Linked DNA regions of Struthio camelus. Each later gene encodes a partner of the first gene's protein in a complex. Links are inferred from orthologs where the notes say so. Each region holds a gene or a part of one and is shown on either strand. Other genes may lie near its edges.

What was found.
Region 2: the proteins of EIF2S1 (region 1) and EIF2B1 are in contact, whole or in part, in a cryo-EM structure (PDB 6K72), measured with the Homo sapiens proteins. The link is inferred for Struthio camelus from reciprocal best matches to the Homo sapiens genes EIF2S1 and EIF2B1. Residues at the interface, in NP_004085.1 of Homo sapiens: Ala28, Glu29, Met30, Tyr33, Gly44, Met45, Leu47, Leu48, Arg75, Lys80, Tyr82, Ile83, Asp84, Arg88; in NP_001405.1 of Homo sapiens: Gly39, Thr41, Ile42, Gln43, Gly44, Leu45, Arg46, Ala47, Asn48, Glu70, Arg74, Ser77, Ser80, Leu81, Glu82, Tyr83, Ser84, Asp85, Tyr86, Cys89, Leu305.

What each region holds. Positions count from the first base shown.
Region 1 is NC_090946.1:46,692,869-46,700,092, reverse strand, and holds the start of EIF2S1 (eukaryotic translation initiation factor 2 subunit 1), read left to right. Parts: upstream 1-4,022; 5' UTR 4,023-4,370; intron 4,371-6,322; 5' UTR 6,323-6,323; coding exon 6,324-6,564; intron 6,565-7,224. Other genes in the region: ATP6V1D (V-type proton ATPase subunit D), read right to left, coding at 1-29, 1,228-1,345, 3,734-3,774. UniProt on the Homo sapiens protein: Member of the eIF2 complex that functions in the early steps of protein synthesis by forming a ternary complex with GTP and initiator tRNA. This complex binds to a 40S ribosomal subunit, followed by mRNA binding to form a 43S pre-initiation complex (43S PIC).
Region 2 is NC_090958.1:16,713,577-16,721,299, forward strand, and holds the start of EIF2B1 (translation initiation factor eIF2B subunit alpha), read left to right. Parts: upstream 1-4,500; 5' UTR 4,501-4,612; coding exon 4,613-4,625; intron 4,626-4,704; coding exon 4,705-4,806; intron 4,807-4,902; coding exon 4,903-5,039; intron 5,040-5,113; coding exon 5,114-5,230; intron 5,231-5,719; coding exon 5,720-5,832; intron 5,833-6,746; coding exon 6,747-6,815; intron 6,816-7,723. Other genes in the region: GTF2H3 (general transcription factor IIH subunit 3), read right to left, coding at 225-278, 788-862, 948-976, 2,398-2,427, 2,743-2,805, 3,078-3,241, 3,816-3,925, 4,289-4,368 and 1 more.

The DNA.
Region 1 (7,224 bases):
CTCATCACCTCACCCATCAGCAACTTAGTCTGGGGGGCGGGGGGGGGTGGGGGGGGAGGAGGCAACAAACATAAGGCACATTACTCCTTCTGCAGGATGGATAATTAAAAGCATCAAGAAAACAATACAGAATTTAAGACAGAGGAAATTCTATATCTCAAACCAGAAATCATAATTCCCAGGTGACTGGCAAAAAAAAAAAAAAAAGAAAAAGCTGTTTGAGTCAGTGTAAGAACTCACAGAACTGCGAAAGACTTGACTATCTTTATCAGCAGAAAACCATACTAGGTGAGCGTTAATTCACAACAATATAATGGCACAGTGGGAAAACACTCTTACCTGATATTGTACTGAATAATGTAAGATATCTTAAGTTGTTGTTCAGCATACAGATGTATGCAGCTTAGTGAAGCTGCTCTCTCCTCCTGCTCCAGTTTTCCTATTTTTACACATTTCAGTCCCTTGGCGCTAAAAAAAATATGCTATTCAGAAGCAAGAGCCTTTGTGTATCAGCCAGTGCATTGCTGTTCTGTTTGTCTACAGGCAACTAGACGTAAGAGTGCCAAAAGCTTGTCTAAAGCATGATAACAAAGTACTACTGCTAACCCTGGCCATCCGCAGCAGTAATAGTCTAAACAATACAGATGAATCCCATCTAGTATGGTAGGACAGAACAAGCCACACCAGGCTCTACTGAATATCTTGTATTTTGTCATTTGTGCTGCAAAGAGCGCAGGAAACAGGACTTGGCATTTCTTTATAAAGAAAGAAATTCGATCTGGATGAAACTTCTTGTCTCTACCTCCTGGTGTACCTGATCATGCAGGAAACACAGATCTGCAGTGTGCTCTCTAGCAAAAAAAAATAGTACCACAGAACATGTTAAATCCACTCCTACAGCACTTAGCACTGTCACAGCAAACCCCCTGTAACGTAGCAGAGCAGGCAGTAGGAAACTCTAGATATAAAATAAGAGAATCTAGCGCTAGTTGGAAAGAGGGGAAGAATATTAAGTCTTACAGATTTTCAGTACCATCGCAGCCAGGAAAACATACTTCTGCTTATTTGTCCTCAGTAGCCTCACTTACAAAACACAGGTTATACACAAAGTTGTACTACATTCTAGCTTACCTTATGAAGTTAGCAGGATGGGAACGTACAACTGACATATAACAGAGAACTTTTAAATGGAGTGAGCTAAATATAGGAAAATTCCAGTTTACCTACCTCAATAATTTTCTTAAGGATCTGCCTGAATCGAAGTGTCAAAGCATCAGATTTTTTCTTCAAGAGGTTACGACCTGTTTGGGCTCCTTTCAAACGAGCCTTCATGATGGTCTGAGCCCTGTTAAACAGACCAAGAAACAAAAAGGCCCTGTGTCATCCAAAGGGATTAGGAAAAAGTCATAACAAGTTTCCTGGCACGGACATGACTGAAATTATGAAGCAACCGAGCAAAATCAATGCAGTAAACCAGGTTGGACAATTCAGGAAAGAATTCTCTTTTTCTGTTTGAAATCAAGGGAACTTATCTCCTCTCCATCAATGAGGATTACAAGGTTAGTATCTGTAAAGCTGAATAGCATGGAAAATTGACAAGTTATTTTTCAGCCCCTTCATAATAGGAAATAAAGAGTTTTCATTTTTCCTGATGACAGCTACTCCAAATGAACCATTCTGACACAGATTTGGGAACTGAAGGATCCCCGTTTCCCTCTACTCCTGTGAAGTATGGTTTAAATTGCACAATTTGTTGATTTAGGTTAACTAAAATGACAGTAGCTATACTACAAAAAACACAAGTTTTGCTAACTTAAGCTACTGCTTTGTACACATAATTACTACACACAAAGGACAACACTCAAGACAGCTCTGTGAAAGGAGTAGCCTGCACACTTCCTCTCTGACCTTGGAAAAATTAAGTATAATTAAGATTCTACCTACACTGTGAAATCCATTACTTCCCCCACTTTACAGGCATATTATAAGAGTGGCTTCATTAATGTCTAAAAGACGCTTATAACCGGAAAAAAAAAGTGAGTACTTTCTGAATGTTCATGATGAAAAACAAGGTCAAAGAATAAAAAGGTAGCTTTACTTTCATAACAAACTGGAACTGGTTCTGGAATGCCACCACCTTGAACCAGCTCACTTGCTCTGCTCGCTACCTGTCAGAGACTGGCTCAGTTTCTACTTCAAGCAAGATTTCACGGGCTCTGAGAACGCGTTAAACAAAGTCTTGTTTACTGTCAATAAGAGCAGTTTCTGCAAGGGATCACGTCCAGTACAGAAGAGGTTCATACCAGCAAGACCAAAGAGTAAAAGAAAAAAAGAAAGAAAAAAGAAAAAGAAGGATTTTGAAAACTCTGCTCTGTCAGTTAACAAAAAGATTTGTTCCAGAGGCAGAGAGGGGCCATCTTTATTTTACTGCCCTAACTTACTTCCCCATCAAAATATCAGCCGCATTATTGGTCTATTACCTCCTTTGAAGAAGAGGCTTGTAAATATTAAGCCTTCGTACATCATCACCTTCTTGCCACAATGAGGTACCAGCCCACAACACAGGTGCCTTTCCAAAATAACTGAAGTGTCTTTTCCTTGGACGTGTAAACTCAATGAAAAGAGGACGGTCAACAGCAGATGCAAGACCAAATGACTTACTACCTACAGCAGCTTATTTCTGATCCAAGATTCAAAACAGAATCTTTACCATGTAATATATTAATTTTTCCATGTAAGGTGTTATTTCATACATCCTGAGCTCATATGAGGGAAGGACTGTTATTTTACATGTGAGGTTCTCTACCACTGCAAGGTATCTTTCATAAAGACTATATCTCAGGCATCAACCCAGTTTTTATGCAAGATTTGAAACAGCTTTCCACTTTAAAGCAAAGTCCTTCTATCCCAGGGAGTTCTGAAGAGAAAATGAATAGCACTGTTACAATAGCAATTTTAATAGCATGTCAATTTTAAACATTTGCATTCATTCCAACGTCGGCCTCTTCCCAAGCCTTGTCAAAAGGCACCTGACTTCATGACAAATAGTCTGCTGTCAGGATCTGGAAAATTACTTGACTGTCCACTGCACTTTTTGCATTTGACTTCCTGTATTTTCTTAACCCTTTACAGCCAACCTCTCGAATGCAGTTGCTGCCACATTAGTTATATCAGTGGCAACTATTTAGAAGAGAAAATGCGGTTTGATTTGCGGTCTTTTTTCTTGAACCCAGATTCTACAAATTGGTCTTTTTTGCAATCAAACTTTGCCTTACTGTATAATAAGCCCCTGGGAAGCTGCTTCTCCCTTGGTACTGGCCCCTGCAATGGCCCTCGCATGGCCCAGAGAGCTAATATTGAGCAACTTGGAAAAAAGAGACTAACGGGAAGATCAAGCTGCAGTCTCCAACTGCCTAGCAAGGGGTTTCACGCGAAACACAGAGCGAGACTGCCCTTGGGGGCGCACAGCAGGAGGGCCGGCGACAGCGGGCGCAGCCTGCGGCACGGGAAACGCCGGTGGATGCCACAAGCGGAACTGATCCCGCAGAGGCATCGGCAGCTCGGCTGGGCCGGGCCGGGCCGGGCCGGGCCGGGCCGGGCCCCCCCCCCGCCCCGCGGCTCTGCTCGGGGCCGCAAGCGCGGCCCGGCCCGGGCTGGGCGGCCGCAGCCGCCGCGGCCCGCGAGGCGCCGACCGCGCCGCCCGCCGCCCCGGCCCGCGCGCAGGCTCGCTCACATGCGCGACGGGAAGATCTCGATGCGGTCCTTGCCCGACATGGTGGTGGTGGCGGCGGGCGGGCGGGCAGCGCCGCGGGACCGCTCCTGCCGCCGCGCCGCACCCTCGCGTGACGCCCCCCCCCCCGCCGAGTGACGCGACCCCGGCGCAGCGGCCGCGCCCCCGCCCCGAGCAGGCCGGAAGCGCCGGGAGAAACCCGGATGGGAGAGCCCGCCCCCTCCCGCAGGCCGGCGCCGGCCCCGCCCCTTCCTTGCGGTCACGTGCCCGCCCGGGGCCAACGGCGCCCTCTGGGGGCGGGAAGGGAGAGAGACGTAACTTGTTCCTGGGCCTGTTTGTGCTCCCAGGAGGTTCTTGACTCTGCGGCTCTTAAGCGGTCGCCTCGCTCTCAGCGCGCGGAGTCCCGCAGGCTCCGAGACCGTTCTAGTGCAGCGCGAGCGCTACGCCCTCGCCCGCCCACCGTCCGCCTCGTCCCCCCACCTCGGCGCTGGGACTCTATGATCCGGCGGGGCGGGGCCGGCCCGTCTCGCGAGAAGGAGCGCGGCGGGGCGGCGGGGGCCGGTGCACGCTGAGGCAGGAGCCGGGCCAGCGCGGGATCCGGGAGCGCGAGCGGACAGCGGGACCCCCCGGCCGTTGCCAGGTAACGGCCCGTCCCGGCGCAGCTCGCCTCCTACCGCCGACTCAGGCTCCGGCCCTGGGCCCCGGCGCCGCGCCGCGCCGCCCGGCTCCTCGCGAGGACCGGCGTGGCGGAGGGCTGGGCCCGGGGCGCCGAGGGCCGCGTCCGCCATCTGCCGCGCAGCTGCGAGCGGCCCGCCCGGGGGGCCGCACTCTCCGGGCCGGGTCGGGCCGGGCCGCGGCCTGCCCGCGTCTTGCCGTCGGCCTGCTGGAGGGGTCCGCGCCTGCGCCCGGCGGGGGCTCTCGGCCGCCCCGGGGGCCGCTTCCGTCCCCGCTTCGGCGCCTGTGCTGCCCCCAGGGCTGTGACTCCCCGGCCTGGGCACCGGGTCGTGGCAGCGACGCCGCAGCGGAGGAGTTTCTGGCCAGAAGTTAGCCTGGTTTTGCCAGTTCTTACAGAGGCCTCTGTGGTCGTTTCGTGGCAATGTGGATTTAAATCCTTGCCCGTTCATTTCCAGCGTCTGGGAAAGATGATTCCCAGTCTTGGGGCTGCAGGTAGCGTGTTGTCCCTGAGGCCCTTTCGATGGGAGGACAGCATAAATGCCTTGTGACCACGGAGAGAGCAGTGAAACGCTGTCTGTGCAGAGCTGTAGTTGTCTGTTCTTGCTCGCCATTGTTGGGGGTTGTTGCTTTATGCTATGTGTTTATTCAGTGTCTCATACATAGATATTCAGGATTAATCTGAATTGCACTAAATAGACTGGAAAGGTAAATTGTAAAATGTGTATTTTTAGTCTTGGGATTCTTTGTTGAACTTATGGTTACGTGAAACCTTTAGAGGACTGTTTTCATAATTGCTTCACTAGTTTATATTTTCTCCTTTCTCAAAGTTAGTGAAGAATGAAAATAAAGATGGACACTTTCTTCAAAATTGTTTGGCCGTGTTTGTGTAGCAGTTGGCATCACCGTCTTACTCTTTTTAATATTCTTGTATTGATGCAGTGCGTTAGCACTGCTGTGAAGATCAGGCGTGAAACTTTGAAATGGCAATTAAATCTTTCAGGGAAGTAACATGTTTGACTTGGTATTACAGGCTGCTACATCCAGAGTGATCTTATAGTTCTGTATCAAACTTCTAGGCATAGACAAAAGGAGTTGGGGTAGCCTGATTAGTAGTGATGAATGTGTGGATTACTCTCATCATCAGGAAAATGAAGCAGTTTCCTATGAAACTGCATGGATTAGTGTGCATTTCTTCTTATCGCTGCACGTTTATGAAGCATGAGCCTTCTTTTTTGCGTGTGTTCTGCTGTTCTTGCATCCTTTGACTTCTGAAAAGTGGCCTCTGGAGCTGTAAGCCTTCCTCTCTCTGTACGGAATTATTCCAAATATTTTATGTTGAGTTTAAAATATCATTTTCTAGAGTATAGAGATAGATGGGGTCTCTTCTTTCTCAGTACTACAGAAGCTTTGCTCTGCTTGTTATTTTATCAACATTTCACATGCTGTCTTATGATACGCTTACAGATATGTTTGTTATCGCTGCAGTTCTCTTCTCTTCTGTGTGCTCCTGTTGTTGAAATCTGATTTATAATTTTACATGATATTATGAATTTAGATGAATGAAGAGTGCTGTACCTCCTTTTCACCACATGAAGTCTCTTCTGTATTGTGCAATATATGTCATACGACAGTCGAAGTGGATAATAACTAGGTAGCAAGGTTTTTTACCTTCATGCAAAAGATGATCATCTTAGCAAAGCCTGTGATAATACTAAATACTAAGATAAATTAATTTAGTATTTTATGAGAGCCTAATTCTGGAAATGTTTTCCTAAAGTAATTTGCAATTTCTTGTTCCAGAGTTCAGTGTTCCTCTTTATCCTTACTAGTCCTTGCTGCTTCTTACTACGTTTGTGGGAGAGGTTAGTGGTGTACTATGAGCTAAGTCATCTTTGTTTCTTTTTGCGCAAATTACAGAATGCCAGGACTAAGCTGTAGATTCTACCAGCATAAATTTCCAGAAGTGGAAGATGTAGTGATGGTCAACGTTCGGTCCATTGCTGAAATGGGAGCTTATGTCAGCCTGTTGGAATACAACAACATTGAAGGCATGATCCTTCTTAGTGAGCTATCCAGAAGACGTATCCGTTCCATAAACAAACTCATCCGCATTGGGAGGAATGAGTGTGTTGTGGTCATAAGGGTTGACAAAGAAAAAGGTATTCTGGGATATTATGGGCAGTATCAAACTTGAAATCATAAAGATAAACGCAAATAAACTGGGCAGCTTAGGTTTTTGGGTTTTTTTGGCTGGGAATTTTTTTTGCTTAAGGTACTCAAACAAAATAGAGCACAATCCTGCCACGTGATGTTTGTGAGCATTGTTCTGTGTGTCCTTTGAGAATCAGGTTGATGAAGATCAGTCACACCAGTAAAGATTTGTTTGAGTCCTCAAACTCTTAAATTCAATGTTTTAGTCAACAAACGGTATTGAAGTGGGATTTTCTTTTGAAGTCTCTGTTTATTTTCTGAGTCTTAACTGGAGAGAAGAATGATACTAGACCTGTCTGTGGTAGTGAAAAAAAAAATCTAAATGATGAGCATTTAGACCTCACAGTTCATCCTGTGCCCTAAGGCATCAACCCTGACTATAAAATGGATGGCAGTTATGTAACGATTGTACCATATGCATACTGTAGAAGGTTAAAAGTTGGGATTGTACATATAGCCTTAACTTTTGTCCATTCCTGTCTTCTGAACTCTTGAATCTTTGAAGTTCTTTAATGTATTTTCTATGTAGGATGTCATTTTTTAGCAATACTGTTCAGTGCCATCTTTAACATCTATATCCTTGTTCTTTATGCTTTTTTTTCTTGAAG
Region 2 (7,723 bases), on another chromosome or scaffold:
TTACAATAAAAGGGCAAACAGATTTTTATGAAAAAATACATGATTAAAGGAAGAGAAAGGATCTTGCAGATGTGAAAGAACTCCTCAATGATGTCCCATAAAATGGTGCAAGAGAGGCTCCCTTTCAAGACATGGCTGCAAAAAGGAGAGCTTTAAACATGTTGATTTCTGATCAAATATCTAACAACTACTGTAAACAATAAATAGGAATAAGAAGCCTGTACCTGTTGCAGAAGACCTGAATCAGAGTCCAAGACACAGGCATCAATCAAAATACTCTGCAACCAAAAAGGGGAAACTCATGAAAAACAGAAACGCAGCTAGGACCAGTGCAACCTCAGGGTTATTGTCTTGATCTGTTTCAGCTATACAAACGCTCCATGCATGCACACATTTTTAAGCCTGCAGGCCCACCACAGACACAGGGAAGGTCTCTTACTTGAGCAGCACACGAATCCAGATTTCCAGCCTCCACTTCCTAATATATGGCAATACAAGAACTACCAGAAAAGGTATCTTATACATTATCTACAAGGATGGGAAAAAGGGTTACTGTCTGTACTTCCAGAGCAAACTTCAACTGGCCTACTAGACCTTTTATGTTCAAATGCAGTGATCTAGGTCTGTTTTTTAAACTCCTGCCTTTCACCCTAGACATGATAGGCTTCATAACCTTCAAGAAGTCTTTAACTAGACCACGATCATAAGAGAAATGAACGATTTTGTTACATCTATACATTAATAAAAGACAGTGTGTATCATATAGTAAATAAAATGCCAACTTCACCTGTTTCTGTGCTGCAAAGATCACATTCATGAAATTCATATATTGCAGTGCACTGTCTTCTGCAGCTTTTATGACCTACGTAAAGCAATTCAAACTTGTTAGTCTACATAATACAGCCGTATTTCAACACTCAAAGAAAATTGACAACAAAAACTCTTACCAGAATTCTTGATTTAATTTCTTGATTGCCTAAGCATTGAAAAGAAAGAGAAATGCATGAGCACATTATTTCTACCCCTTGTAGCTTGTCCTTGTAATTATGCAGCATGATCTAACACTTTGGTTAAAATAGATGTATGCGACTGTTTTATGTTCTCAATGGCATTAAGAGCAGCAGAAATACTTGACGAGTATCTGTGGGCTAATTCAGATCTGCTATGAAAGTGGATACCATCTCATTTGTTATCCAAAAGCAATTGGATATTGAACGGGAAAGAAATTTTAAAGCTGTTCATTACCAGCTCACTGGTTCAAATACATATCTCAAGAATAACAAGGTAATTCTCACTGATCAAAGCGATCTGAAGTGTATAGCTGATTCTAGTCCAGTTTCACCTCGCAAAACCAGCTGCACAAGTAGCACTTCTCCTGATTACAGAAGTCACAAGAGGAAGACCAAGACTGAGTAAGAAATTAAACTATCATCCCAACTCTGCAGATGGTCCCTTTGGAAGAGGATTTGCACTTCACGCAACTTTCAAGGAGTTCTTTGCAGTTTTTACTTGTCCTGAAGAGATTCCAATTTTACTGTTCACCCACATGCAACAGAAAACTAGAACAAGAACACAGACTAATCTGACCCAAAGTAATATTATAAATACTAAGTTATGTTCAGTATTTTCATTATTTCTATTTTCAAGCCCTGGGGAGCCTGGTCTGACCTCATAGCGGTCTATGCTTTGAACAGGAGCCTGGAATAGAGACCTCCCAATGTCCCTTCCAAAATAAATTACCCTATGATTCTAAAGCTGCAGAAAAAGAAAACAGCTCTACAGAAGAATGATTTGTGTTGTTAAATATCACAGTACTAAAAGTTTGTATTACAGCAGAATTTTAATTCTCCAAAGAACTGAGAGTTCTCCTAATCGATAGCTCTCTCCATTGTTTCCAACAACGGATGCTTAACCTCCTTGTTTTAGGTGTTTTACACCCAGCTGAGATAAAAATCATTTTTTTTTAATCGTTCAATATGGAAGAGGTTGAAACATCTGATGCAGAGTACTGCGGTCCTTTTGGATGCCACATCAAGAATTTTGGAAGACATTTAAAACTGGGCTCTAATTTGTGGAAGCTCATTTGTGGATTTGCGCCTTTTTAGAATTATGTTTGTTTTACTTGGAAGTTCTAAGATTTTTTCCCCCAAATTTTAAGATTCTCTTTGCTTTCTGCCTCACTTCCATAAATGCTTATTTCTAATCCACCCAGACCTAGCTCACATTGGGCAACTTGACAATCAAGACAAACCTTTACCTATTATTGCCAATGTGGGAAAGAGGGTACAGAAATATATGCATGTTTGTTTGTACGTATATATGTGTGCATACATTTTTTTCTTGTCCTTCCAATTCAAATATTTATGTATTCACTCAGAACAAGAGAAAAGGTATTACCTTTCACCTCTTTGCTCATCTTGTTAATGTCTACATTAGTTGACATTAAGGAATCAACACTCTATTCTTAGCATGCCCAAGAAGCAGACATAACATTTCCAAAAATTACCAAACCAGAAAGTAAATCCAGTACTTGTACTATGCGTTCAGCACCTTAGCTAACACACATTTTAGTAACCACAATCCACAGTTATTAGACAAATCATAGTTTTAAAAAACATCTCTGCTTTGAATATTATTATAGAACAGTAAATCCTAGAGTGAAGCATAATCAATATGATAAGAAACGGTCTTAAAAAATAGATAGAAATAATGGCTTTGAAAATTCACTCATTAAAAGGATACAACAAAGTGCTTTAGCAAGTGATCCTGCTAGCAGAGTTTCTGTTTGCTGGCCCCTCATGTCAGCTGCAATACAAGACAAGCTGCAGAAGTTACTTTATATATGAAAACAGTTGCCGAACTTGACCATAATAAATACTTCATTTGAGTTCTATTTTTGGCAAATAGGATTAGCGCAGAGACCCCAAAAGTGTCAGGTATAACCTTATCTACTTTAAACACATTAAAATTCAGAAGACCAAAATAAGGCCGCATACAAAGGAAATGCCAGCAACTCCTTGAAAGTCTCCAGTATTTTCTAATTCCGCATATTAAACCTAGAATTGTCTTTTCCTTACTTTTCGTCATGAGGTCTTTAATTTCCTCTGTAATTGCATCATTTATTGCTGTTAACAATTCGTATTTCCCATCTCTGCTGCCAGAGCAATTAGATTCTGCAAAACTACCACCATCTCCAAAGAGATCTGCAAAAGTCCAACGCTTCCCGGGATACAAGAAACGACTGAAAGAGAAGAATAAAGTATTCATGTTTTGCCAATATGCTCATAAGAAAAATAAATAAATAAACCAGTTGTAGACAGCAATACTCAGAAGTAGAGCTTTCCATAATTTTAATGCTTAAGCCATTAAAGAGACTACATAAGCCAGGCAATCTTCAAAATCACAATGGAGTAATGCCTGCATTCACTCCCTTCCTTTCAAGGCACGGTTTAAGAAAATTAGCAGACATCGTGTCTGCCCTGAGGGGCAGACCACTTGTTCCTGAGACTCACAAATAACTTGGGGTGGAGGGGCAACACAGGACTCACTAAACAGGAAAATTTCCCCACTTCTGTTGTCCTGCTCACTACACGACTCCTCACCTTCAATCTACATATATTTGTTGCTTAAGTAAAAGCCCATTTTATTTCTTTCTCACTCTGTTTTAATTAATTTCTATTTTTAAGAGAATGATAGGTTACACATTTTAAACTTGGTTTCAATAACAAACTCCAGTCCAACAAGGACTTTAGGGGAGAGCTGTAGGAAAGAGCACTTTAAAATTAAGTTTGTACACCAGTAACAAGCAACTACACCTTTCTTGCGTGTGACTCGCTATCACAGCCAGCCTGTTGGTACGGTTCATAAACAAGTGCGAATTTCCCAGGACCATCACCGCATCCAGGCATTTTGACAGGGTGAACTGCTGAAAAACAGAAGAAAAAAAAAAAGCAGATATAACACGATAATATTCAAAATTGAGTAATTTAGAAGAAATCTCTCAATTCAAATGACTGAAGACTTAAAAGAACTCGAATTTTAGGATGCTGAAGGAGATTCATTTCTTAATGGGAAGGATTTAGGGGCGGGAAAGAAGGCTCAAGCCATACAGGACACCGAGCAGGCACGTTAAGAGCAGTCTCACGCAATTATCAATTGCATCGCACAGCTCTGAAATCAGAGACCTAGCCCGTCTGCGGGCAGCTCGCAAAGAAATAAGCGCCAGACCGAAAAACGTTAATTTCCTCAGGGAGCCGCCCCGCGGGGCCGGCGGAAGCGGTACCGGTACCTCGGCTTCCCCCAGCGCCCTCTTGCCCCACCAGATCGGGTTGGTGTCAACGATGACGACCAGCAGGCTCAGCTCGTCATCTGAAAGACAGAGCACACGGCGCCGTCACGCCGGGACACGGCGGCGGCGGCGCCGCCGGCCCCGAGCCGCCCGCGCCCGCCTCACCCGCGCTCATGTCGCCGCCCGCGCCGCCTCCCCGCCGCTGCGGCGCCGCCGTGACGTGACGGCGCGCGGCGTGACGTCACGCGCAGGCCGGCCGGCCGCCGCGCCGCGGTGCGGGGGGAGCGCAGCGCAGCGCAGCGCAGCGCCGCCGCCGCCGCCGCCATGAGCACGGACGGTAACGGCGGGGCGCGGGGCGGGCGGGGCGCGGGGCGGCGCGGCCGGGGCTGACGCTGGCGCCTGCTTTTGCCTTGCAGACCTGATCGAGGCCTTCCGGGCGCAGCTGAGGGACGACCCCGACGTCGCCTCGGCCGTGGCCGCCATCCGCGCGCTGCTGGGCTTCCTCAAGCGGGACCGAGGTGGGCCCGGCTCCCCCTTCCCTCCCCTCCCGCCCCCGCCCCGGGCCGGCCAGGCCCCGGCCTGCCCTGACGGCGCGCCTCTGCCCCCACCCCCAGGCGAGACCATCCAGGGCCTGCGGAGCAGCCTGCTGGACGCCATCGCCACGCTGTCGCGGGTGGACTCCTCGGTGGCCGTGTCCTCGGGCGGGGAGCTCTTCCTGCGCTTCATCAGCCTCACCTCGCTGGAGCACTCGGTGAGGGCAGCCTCCCCCCTCGCCGCCGGCCTCCCCCCTCGCCGGCCTCACGCCCGGCTCGCTCTCTTTTCCAGGACTACTCCAAGTGCAAAGAAATCATGATCGAGCGAGGGGAGATTTTCCTCAGGAAGGTCTCCCTGTCGAGGAACAAGATCGCCAAGCTCTGCCATCCCTTCATCAGAGACGGTGCCGTAAGTAGGCCGAGGCGGCGTTGCTCTTGTGCGGGTGCCCCGCTGCTTCCAGCGGTGGCGAAGCTGGAGGGGAGTGACATTTGTTAGCATCCATTTATGACAACGTCGTCTGATGGTGGCTTTTGTGAATACACAGGCATAACGTCACCCATTGCTTTATTTTCTTAAGACTTCCCCTCCCCCTACCTCTATTTCTATGCAAAGCAGCATTACCTTGTGGCCTACTTGTAAGAGGTGCTGAGGAGTCTCAATGTGAACTCTCCATTGAAAGTATTAGATCCTCGGCCCCCTCGGCAGCATCAGGGCTGTGTAAAAACCTGCCATGTAAAGTCCAGCTCAGAGTGGTTTGCTGTCCTATAATTTGTATAATACAAATGGCGTACAGTATTATTTAAAGTTGGCGGACAGTTGTGTGAAGTAAAACCCATGACACAACAACAACAAAAGTTCTCGGAAGCTCAGCAAAAAGTAATGTGTTTTTTTTGACAGCGAATATTGACACATGCCTACTCAAGAGTGGTCCTCAGAGTGTTAGAAGCAGCTGTTGAGTCAAAGAAGCGATTCAGTGTTTATGTCACTGAATCACAGCCAGATCAAGCAGGGCAAGTACACATTAATTTTGTGTTTTATCTATCAGCCAGCATCACATCTGTCATATCTTAAGAAAAGCTAAGTTTATTTGCATCATTTTCAAGGGTAACTGTATCACTAATAATGTAACATTGTTCCAGACAAGTAAACATAAATATTGGCAATTAATTTTCTGTACTAAATAACCTCATTACACTGCTGCCTGGTTATTGGCAATTAATTTTCTGTACTAAATAACCTCATTACACTGCTACCTGGGTTTTCCTCAAAGGTTTACAAACCTTCAGTCAGTGCCGATTTACTTTTTTCCTTTTTTGACGGGAGACGATTGACTTCTGGTTGTCAGCTTCAGAAGCAGGCCAAAATAGTCAGTATAATCTTTAAGCATACAAAGTAAAATATTTAGCTAACAACGTCGTTTGAAGATGCCAGATAACGTGTGTTACTGATAGCAGGCTTTCCCTCTCCAGAGAATACAGTTGCATGCGGGACATAGCTATACGTACTCGTGTTGCTAACCAGTCTTTCACTAGCATAAAGGACGTTTAGCTAAATGAAGTACGTATGATCTATCAGGGTCACTAAAATAACTTCTAGCAATACAGCCCATGCTTTATTTCTTGTGTCTTGTTGATGGAAAAGCAGAGACAGCTTAGGTAATCAGCGATCTTAATAATGTTTCCCTGACTTATCTTTCTGTAGCTATAATTCCAGACTGCTAAAACTGACTTGACTTTGTCAGGTTTGTCATAATCTGTTTGTTTCCATTTCTACACAAGAATTTATTTTCCTTTAGGGGGAACATCACAAATCAAAACTACTGGCGAGGGAACGTGGGCAGTCATGGGTTTCACTCCTTCAGACAATATTTTTCTAGCGGTCTTTAAAGAAAGACTTTTAAGCTTCAAACATGCTGTTTTAATAGGCAAAAAATGGCAAAAGCTCTGCGCAAGTTGAACATTCCTGTGACTGTGATTCTAGATGCTGCAGTTGGGTAAGTCTGATCACTAAATCTTAACACTATTCATCCCAATTTTACTTTGACAGAGTTATATATGAGCTTTATAGAAGCTTGTTCAAAGTACAGAGATTGTTACTTAGTCTGTCACAGTCACCAAACAAGCTAAACAAGTTAAACCTTTTGGTGCCCAATTAGGAGAATATGCCTGCTATAAAACGAGTACTTGATGCTTGCATATGAGAATGAAGTCAGGCCTAAGTACAGAACTTGGGTGGGGATACACGGAAAAAGGAACTGGGGTGCTATGCAAAAAGGCTACCTTTTTTTCTAATTTGCATACAGTAAGCACTAGCATTTTTTAAACTGATTGATTGCTAAATCACTACTGCTTAGTGTATGTAAGTACAAAGTATGAGAAAGGAAAGAACTATTATAACTAAATCCCAGTTCCTACATTAGTGCAAAATGCATGTCAGAATGCCTCCAAGAGAAGAAAACATACCAGTCTGCTTACCAAGGCAGCTGTAATCCAGTGCAGAGGGTGGCTTGACTGGACAAATCTGAAAGTTTTGCGTGATGCATTAACATTTCTCCTTTTCAGAATGTTTAGCTGATGGTTTGCTTTTTAGGTCTGTATTTTCAATGAGCAAAACAGGTTGAAAGAACGTAAAGAAAAGTGGACAAGATGAGGAACATCTTATGTGTTTGGCCGAGGATATTACGAGGCAGAGTTAAACTTCACTGTGTAGTTAGCATTTTATCAAGATATTCACGTTCCTGAAACTGAGGAGTATCCCTAATCAGATCCAGCTTCTCCAAGCCTTTTCCCAATTACCAACGTCAGGTCAGGCAGAAGACATAATTATTAAATATTCCTGCTTGGGAAGCAGAGGAAGGCTCATTACAAGCATATGTAACAGTATATGTACGTGCATAGGCAG